Oryzias latipes: one gene and its partner. The protein of the gene in region 1 interacts with the protein of each later gene in a pairwise test. Links are inferred from orthologs where the notes say so. Each region holds a gene or a part of one and is shown on either strand. Other genes may lie near its edges. The genes, in order: exosc10 and mphosph6.

Evidence for each region.
Region 2: the proteins of exosc10 (region 1) and mphosph6 interact in binary tests that used the Homo sapiens proteins (3 or more experiments, as listed by UniProt). The link is inferred for Oryzias latipes from reciprocal best matches to the Homo sapiens genes EXOSC10 and MPHOSPH6.

What each region holds. Positions count from the first base shown.
Region 1 is NC_019865.2:9,469,731-9,473,549, forward strand, and holds part of exosc10 (exosome component 10), read left to right. Parts: intron 1-969; coding exon 970-1,160; intron 1,161-1,306; coding exon 1,307-1,463; intron 1,464-2,570; coding exon 2,571-2,719; intron 2,720-2,813; coding exon 2,814-2,864; intron 2,865-2,950; coding exon 2,951-3,062; intron 3,063-3,150; coding exon 3,151-3,198; intron 3,199-3,282; coding exon 3,283-3,358; intron 3,359-3,445; coding exon 3,446-3,555; intron 3,556-3,634; coding exon 3,635-3,727; intron 3,728-3,808; coding exon 3,809-3,819. UniProt on the Homo sapiens protein: Catalytic component of the RNA exosome complex which has 3'->5' exoribonuclease activity and participates in a multitude of cellular RNA processing and degradation events.
Region 2 is NC_019864.2:5,685,007-5,688,925, forward strand, and holds the start of mphosph6 (M-phase phosphoprotein 6), read left to right. Parts: upstream 1-1,446; 5' UTR 1,447-1,631; coding exon 1,632-1,679; intron 1,680-1,720; exon of another isoform or gene 1,721-1,962; intron 1,963-2,070; exon of another isoform or gene 2,071-2,121; coding exon 2,122-2,234; intron 2,235-2,321; coding exon 2,322-2,412; intron 2,413-2,507; coding exon 2,508-2,605; intron 2,606-3,919. UniProt on the Homo sapiens protein: RNA-binding protein that associates with the RNA exosome complex. Involved in the 3'-processing of the 7S pre-RNA to the mature 5.8S rRNA and play a role in recruiting the RNA exosome complex to pre-rRNA; this function may include C1D.

The DNA of each region.
Region 1 (3,819 bases):
CTTTAAAAATAACAGCTGAAGTAAAGGATTAAATAACATTTGTTGAAGCCAGATTACTCACTATTATAAATTGGTATCTTTAGATCACTATTTATGCCATGTTATTATTTATTTTTTTATTAAAGAGAAAGGACAAAGCACAACTTTGTCACACATGAATATATATCGCATAAATAAAATCGTTTTTTATTTCTTTTATTTTTTTAAATGAAGTTTACCCAGGAAATCCAACCAGCAGCATTACTTTGATTTGGAGTCATTTGATGCAGAGAACTTACTGACTTTCTTTCTCAAAACAATAAAGATTTTTAATCGTTTAATGCTTGTTTTATTAACGTGTATCAACAAATTCTCAATGGATGTTTCCCTCGATAAAGATGACTTCAACCAAGGGTTAAAACATTTTTTATAAAAATCAGCAGAATGGAAACATTTAATAAACAAACATAGATTTCCATGTTTTTATTCCTTTTGTCAGCAATAAAGTTTTCATGGATGTGCAATTTTTGATTTTTATTTATCGGTATTTATTTTTACTAGTGACTTTCTCCCATGTAAAATTTTTCTGTGTCGCTATTTTGTCTCATTTTCAGGTAAGCATTGATTCTCAAATCTTAATGCTGTTCTTGCTCTTTTTCTTTCATGAAATTTTCATCCTTTTTTTCAAATCCTGTGTTAAATAATAGTCGGATGAAAAAGCTCGGAGCCGGTCTCTGCGTGTTCCCTCAGAGCGTGTCTAACAAAGTTGGTGCGTGTCCTGTTGTGTGTGGGAGCAAACATGACTCACGCATTGTTGGACATCTGTGAAAAGTGTAGTGTGTGTGGGCGTCGGCAAGAAAAAAAGAATTTTGAAGATGATTCAGATAAAATGTCATGTGCTTTGTAGAAAGTTCTAATGTTTTTTGGTAGGAATGGGGGTCGTTCTCTTTTCCCTGAAAGCTGATAAATGTGGTCCGTTGCTGTTGTCAGGTGTTTCATGGAGCTGATTCTGACATCGAGTGGCTCCAGAGAGATTTTGGCTTGTATGTGGTCAACCTGTTTGACACGCATCAGGGAAGCCGAGCTCTCCACCTGGCCAGGAATTCACTTGACCACTTACTCAGACACTTTTGCAATGTGGACTCGGACAAAAGATACCAACTGGCCGACTGGAGGATTCGGTTTGTTGCTCATTTTTTCCCCCTATTTTCCTACGCTGTAAATTTATTAGAAAAAAAATGTATTTTTACCTGTAAAGATGCAATCGGTTTTAGATATACTTTAAAAAAATGTTAAATAAATATTATCCTGTGGTTTGTCCCTGTAGCCCCCTACCAGATGAGATGGTGCAGTACGCCCGAACAGACACCCACTATCTCCTTTATATCTATGACTGTGTGAGGGCACAGCTGTTGGACTCTAACCACGGGCAGCCGGGCCTCCTGCAGTCTGTCTGGAACAAAAGCAAAGACATTTCACTGACGGTTTGCAAAATCTAACTTTTTCTGATAGTCATATTGAAGTGTCAACCAATGACTGTATGGAACAACTGGACTGAGTGAATGTGACATCACCCATAGAAAATGGCTAACTTCCAGCTCCAACAAAAGGAGGTAAAGTGGGTTAACCTATTTTTTCTTTTTTGGGGGCGACATGAATGTCGCCATGTTGGAGCCAGACAACATCACAGAGTTATGACTGGTTGTGTCCCTCACTACTTAGTTCATTATGTAGGGCGTTTGGCATTTTGCCGAGGTGTCCAAATCTAAATTCCAGAATCCAGTGCCCTAGAAATTTCCCAGGCATCTCTTCAAACAACTAGTGAGCCCGGATGTTCACTAGATTGGCAAATATAGACCACAATGCATTGGACAATTTGTTATTTGAGAAAAAAGTAGTTCAATATATTTTATAAATCAGTTTTCATCATCAGAACACGGTGGATTCATAAATAGTCTTTGTAAAATGGTCATATAAAGGTTATTACTTTGGCAAACGGGTAATGTCATATTCAGCATTTCAAAAAGACTGAACAAATGTGTTGTGTTAAAATCCAAGGCACTAGATAATCTTTTAGGGGTTTTTAGGGGTTATGAGGAAGTCAGATTGGTCACTGTTTCTATGGCCACCTCCCTCACCAATCAGGTGTGAGCTTGTTGGAAGTCCACACTCGGGAAAATCTGTCGAACAAGACGTGAGACCGGATACTTTTATTGAAGCATCTCATTAGTCAGTTTACAACTTAATTAACTTGCCATTAAAAAAGAAAAATATTAGGATTAGAAAGAATATAAGTGACTGGATAGCTTAGTTGGAACCGGCAAGTACTATCTGTTTGGAACATGAGGAGGGAGGGGGTCACTCAGTCCTGGTCTCATATACAGTTAATAGGGACACTACAGAACTTTATTCACATTTAAAAAAATCATTTGTGATTTTATTATTTTTTTATGTCTTATTTTTTTGCTGTGCAGCAGGGTTTTTGGAAAAGTTCACAAATGTACAAAATCCAAAAAGCTAAATCCTCCATCCCATTTCTCCCTCATAACAGTCTGATGTGAACCCATGTGTCTCTGGCTTCTCTGTAACAGAAATACATGAAGCCCGTGTTCACGGAGGATTCATATTTGGAGGTTCTGAGGAAGCAGAAAAGGTCTTTTAACACCCAGCAGCTCACTGCCTTTAGACTGCTCTTTGCCTGGAGGGACAAGCTGGCCAGGCAGGAGGATGAAAGCACCGGGTAGGCCGTGTTCAGCTCATCCACAGGATTTTGAAAGAAACAGAATTTTCTAGCAGGTTTAAAAATTTGTTTCTGTTGTTGTTTTTGAGCACAGATACACGCTTCCCATTCACATGATGATTAAAATATCAGAGGAACTGCCCAAGTAAGTCAACTACAATTTAGATTTGATTTTTCGGCTAGTCTTTATTTTTTATGCCCGATCTTTTTGTCTCTATCTCACTTTCTCAGGGAACCTCAGGGCATCATTGCCTGCTGTAACCCCGTACCCCCGCTGGTGAGGCAGCAAGTCAATGAGCTACACCTGCTAGTGCAACAAGCCCGAGAAATGCCCCTCCTGAAGGTGAGGAGAAACTGGAGGCAGCATTGGGACGCAGGGACTGTTTTCATATCCTTCAAAACTTCAGTTGCAATACTTTCTTTAAACACAGGCTGAGATTGCTGCTCAAAAAAAGAAAGGCCTGACACCTGTGAAAAAGGTTGGCAACAATTAAAATGTTTGGAAAATCCGCTTAAACCTAGATGTGATTATTTGAATTTGAAAGATATGATGTGTTTTTCAGCCGGAGGTCACATTGTTTGGCCCGCATGATACATCCAGGGCATCTGAGAGTGAACTGCCATACTTTTCACCTAACGGTAGGCTTAAGTGGGATGTTTGGATGTTGGAAGTCTTTTTTTTTATTTTTCTTTCTATTAAATGTTTTTTGTTTTTTTGACTTGTAGAAGCACTGGTTAAACAGGGCAGACTCTTCTCTGAAAATGAGAGCAAAATGGATGTGGATGAGCAGAAAATGAGTGGCCTCTTAGCGCCAGCTAAAATAACCCTCTTCCAGGTAGAAAGTTTTAGTTCTCCAGCTAATCAATTTGTCTGAAACTGTAGTGGATTATTTTAATCAGTGCTTTGTTTTGAAGGAGCCCGAGGTACACACTGAGCAAAACTCCCTCTCTGTAGCTCAGATGAAGGCCAGACGAATCATTGAGTCTTTTGAAAATCCTTTTAGAATGGTAGGAAATGTCAAGAGCTTAACCTTCACAATTCTTTATTTGTGCTTTGGCAGAATAATAATTTATTGCTTCTTATTCCAGTATTTACCTTC
Region 2 (3,919 bases), on another chromosome or scaffold:
TTACAAGTTATTTAGGGTTTAAGTTAACTTGTGTTCCTGTTTTTATGCATATTTATGTTAAAAAAGTTCAGTTTAAAAGGTTTAAAAGTTTAGCTTTAGTGTGTTCAGTAAATGTTTATCTTCTTCGGCCAAAAACCTTAAGCGTGTTTGACTGAGTTTGACCCCCCTGTAATACGAGTCTAGAAAATGCATGCATTTTTTATGTAAAATTGCTAAAAAGAAGATAGGTAACACAACAGGATGTTGTCAAATTTTGTATGTGTGCGGGGGGGGGGGGGGCGCCTGTGGGGTTACTCGCCCAGGGAGTAAGTTAGTGTAGAACCGCCACTGCATTAGCATGATACAAACTTTCCATGTCTTTTACCCTGCAGTTCATCATCATTCCACTAGGGGCAGCAGAATGGCTTTTACTGTATTGCTTATTGCAAAATGGCCGCCTCTGTGACATATCCATAACACGTTTGGCAGGGAAGTTTAGCAAATGTTTATGGTGAAAATAACCCATCTATTGTTATTCATTTTCAAACGCTGGCGAGGCTCGCCTCCCTGGAAGCTTTTTCTCCGCCCTTACAGTCATCGCTCTGACCGTACTCTCTGTTACAACTGAGTCCTGCAGTCAGACATGACGCGAAGCGCTCCAGAGCCTCACCCGGAGTTTCTGCTCCCTATGTGAGCGCACAACAGTCAAATTCTGCAAATTTAACCTCAGAAACTGTGGGAAATGTGTCGAGTCAACTGAAAATGTGTCTTTAATACGGATCAGAGGAAAATCATATTTACTTAGTGTACGTTTTTCTATTTTATCACATTGACCAGTGAGGCCGAGCTTCACTTGCCTCATCTGATCACATGTCACTGTTGAAGTTGACATTTTTTGTACCACCTCTATGCTTTATTGTAAACTTAAGATGTTCCAAATAAGTCTGACGAAGGATACAGTTAGCATACTTCCTACACTACTAGGCCTATAGTAGATTTGCTCAATGCATATACAAGTATCTTACTAAAATAAACTTCAAGTGTACTATGGTACTTTTAACTAAAGGTTTTCTAGAGTTCCACGTCTCTCTTTTTAAGTCAAAACAGAAAAAAATAAAAATAAATTATTGACCTGTGTTTTATCTTTCGTCTTATGATATGACATGCTTATCTTTTAAATTAATTTTCAATTATGTTTTTACAAAATGTAGGCTACTTCGGTACAATCAGCGATTGTTGTAAAGCGACTTACAAATAAAGTTTTTGGAATGTTTGCCACGTGACCCGTTGGGTTTTGTTGACTGTCGTGTTTATTACTGTTTATCTATAATGTGTTGTGTTTATTTTGTTGTAAACTACACATCAAACGCATTTCCGTTGATTCACCTGTTCTTTAGCTTGCACTTCACTGTTCTGTGATCAAAAATTACCTGTAGGATAAATACATAACTTAAGGAAAAGCCTCGATTCCTCGGTGCTTGATTAATCAGGCCTGCCTGAATTGCGCATGCTCGACTTTTGACAACATGTCTTTTCCGGCGCGTGGGGCGTTTGTTCTGCTGCAGTAACCAAACCAACGACGTCCTACGGTTAGGTTGAATCAGTTAAGGTTAGTTTAGCGCGGATAGTCTGTTTGTGTTAACCGGAGAAAGATGGCTGCCGACGGAGTGAAACTCTCCAAGAATCTGCTGCGCATGAAGGTACATGCTAGCACCATTAGCTAGCTGCGGCGCGAGCCGCTAGCGTCGATTCATTTTGTTGGCTCCAGAGTGAGAGAAATGGACCAGAACTGATGTTCGTGTCCATAATTCTGCCTCTTGTTCTTCATCCTTCGGCAGGGGCCTGTCTTATCTCCATTCAAGGATCTTTCTGGTTGAATTTGTCAGAGCTGGGCATAGTTTGGGGCTTGACTGTTTTGGTTGGTCTGCTTTCGACTGAAAGGTGGTCATAACTAGTTAATAGGTTAAGAATGACGAACCACAGGTGGGTTAGATTTAGTTTGGTGCTCGGTTTCACATAGTTGCATTGTAAACCTTTAAGACACGTGATCACCTGGGTGGACTGACTCTCGTGAGGTATACTGTACTGCAGATGAGAGCGTGCACGTAGGCGTATGCATGAAAGTGTCATCTGTGGCTGCAGTTCATGCAGAGAGGGCTGGATGCAGAGACGAAGAAGCAGCTGGAGGAAGACGAGAGGAGGATCATCAGCGACGAGCATTGGTATCTGGACCTGCCCGAGCTCTGCACCAAAGAGTACGTGTCTGTGCTCGTGCACGCCTCGCCTGCAGTGGTGTGAACACCTGTAGGTGTGGATGATGGTGACCTCTGCTCCTTCATCAGGACTGTGCTGGTGGAGGAGGAGAGCTTCACTCCCTGTGAGGACTTGCAGTTTGGCCGGATCTCCTTCAGAGGCTTTAACCCAGAGGTTGAGGTGAGGTTCAACCTACAACCGTGTGCGTGCGCACGTGCGTGTGCATGCGCACGTGCGTGTGCATGTGTGCTCTGACCTGTCAGTTGTCCTCACAGAAACTGATGACCTTGTTGAATCCAAAAGATGAAGATGAAGAGGAGAAGGATGTGAGCTGCATGCAGACAGACATCACAGATGAGGAGATGGCTCTGAGGTACACTTCCTCTTCCTCCTGTCCTCCTCAGATGTTATTTGATAGGGTTGCTCTTTGCTCAACAGATCGGTTCCAGTTCTGGATCCAGAGCCTGACTGGTGCCAGGACTGGAACCGGGTCTAAAACGTCGACCCGCTTCATGTCGATCATATAAGCTTTGGGGGCGTGGCTACACAGCCGCAGGAAGAGAATGGAATCTGCTCTGTAGTGGTCTAAACTCTACTCCATCCTCGGGTAGTTAAGCTGATGATAAAGAACTCATTTGGCTCAATCCATCAAACACTTCATTTGTGGAGCGTCTTTCTTCAACGTGCTTAGAACACAAGGTGTTTGACATAAAAAACAAACAGGTTGAAATTATAAAAAGTCATAAAACCAGCAACAATCAAGAGGTGAACATAAGATGGTAGAAAACTGTGGCTACTAGTTATTGTTGAGAAGGCGCTCTATAAAGAGAGTAATAAAAGTACAAACGATTAACAATATAAGCCATGAAATACTTTAGACCCAAATAAATAATTGAATTAAATGAAGACGTTTTTGAGAATTTACATGAACATTTACAGTGAAACTCTCCACAGATGCAGAAACTCTCAGATCTTCAGGTTCCACAGATGAGGACCACGGTACTGAAATGAGGCCTCAATGTGGGTCCTGGTCCTCAGTTTTTCGTTTAGATAAGAGAGCAGAACCTGAGGATCTGAGAGTTGTGGAGGTTTTGGAAGGACCTAGATCTGATAAATAGGAAGGTCCCAATCCAAAAAGACATTTATAAACTAGAAGGAGAATCTTCAAATCATCCAGAGGCTGACAGGAAGCCAGGAGGGATGTGAGCTCTGAATTCTGGACGAGCTGGAATCTATTCATAGATTAAAAGAGCATCACAAAAGTCCCGTCTAGATATGATAAAAGGCAACATTGTTAAAGGAATACAAGCAGTCTTAGTTGTGTTTGATATGTGGATTTTAAAGTTAAGATCTTCCTACATTTATACCAGAGTTTTGAAGTGAGTGTGGCTTCAGGCCCAAGGATCAGTTTCTGTTTGGTCCTTGTTGAGTTTGAGAAAATTAGCTGTCGTCCATTCTATGACATCACTAATATATTTAAGAGGTTTGTCAATGGGATGTAGGCCACACTGGGAGAAGCTGTGGAAGTCTACATCCTAACGTCATGAAGTGTAGCTTAGTGACGTTACCCAGTGGGAGCCTCTACAAGTGAACCCTTTAACACTGGAGATGTTGCCAGTCACATCTAAATAACAGATTCTTTCAACTACCGTTACTCTTCAACCGTTTACGGCTTTTCACTGATATG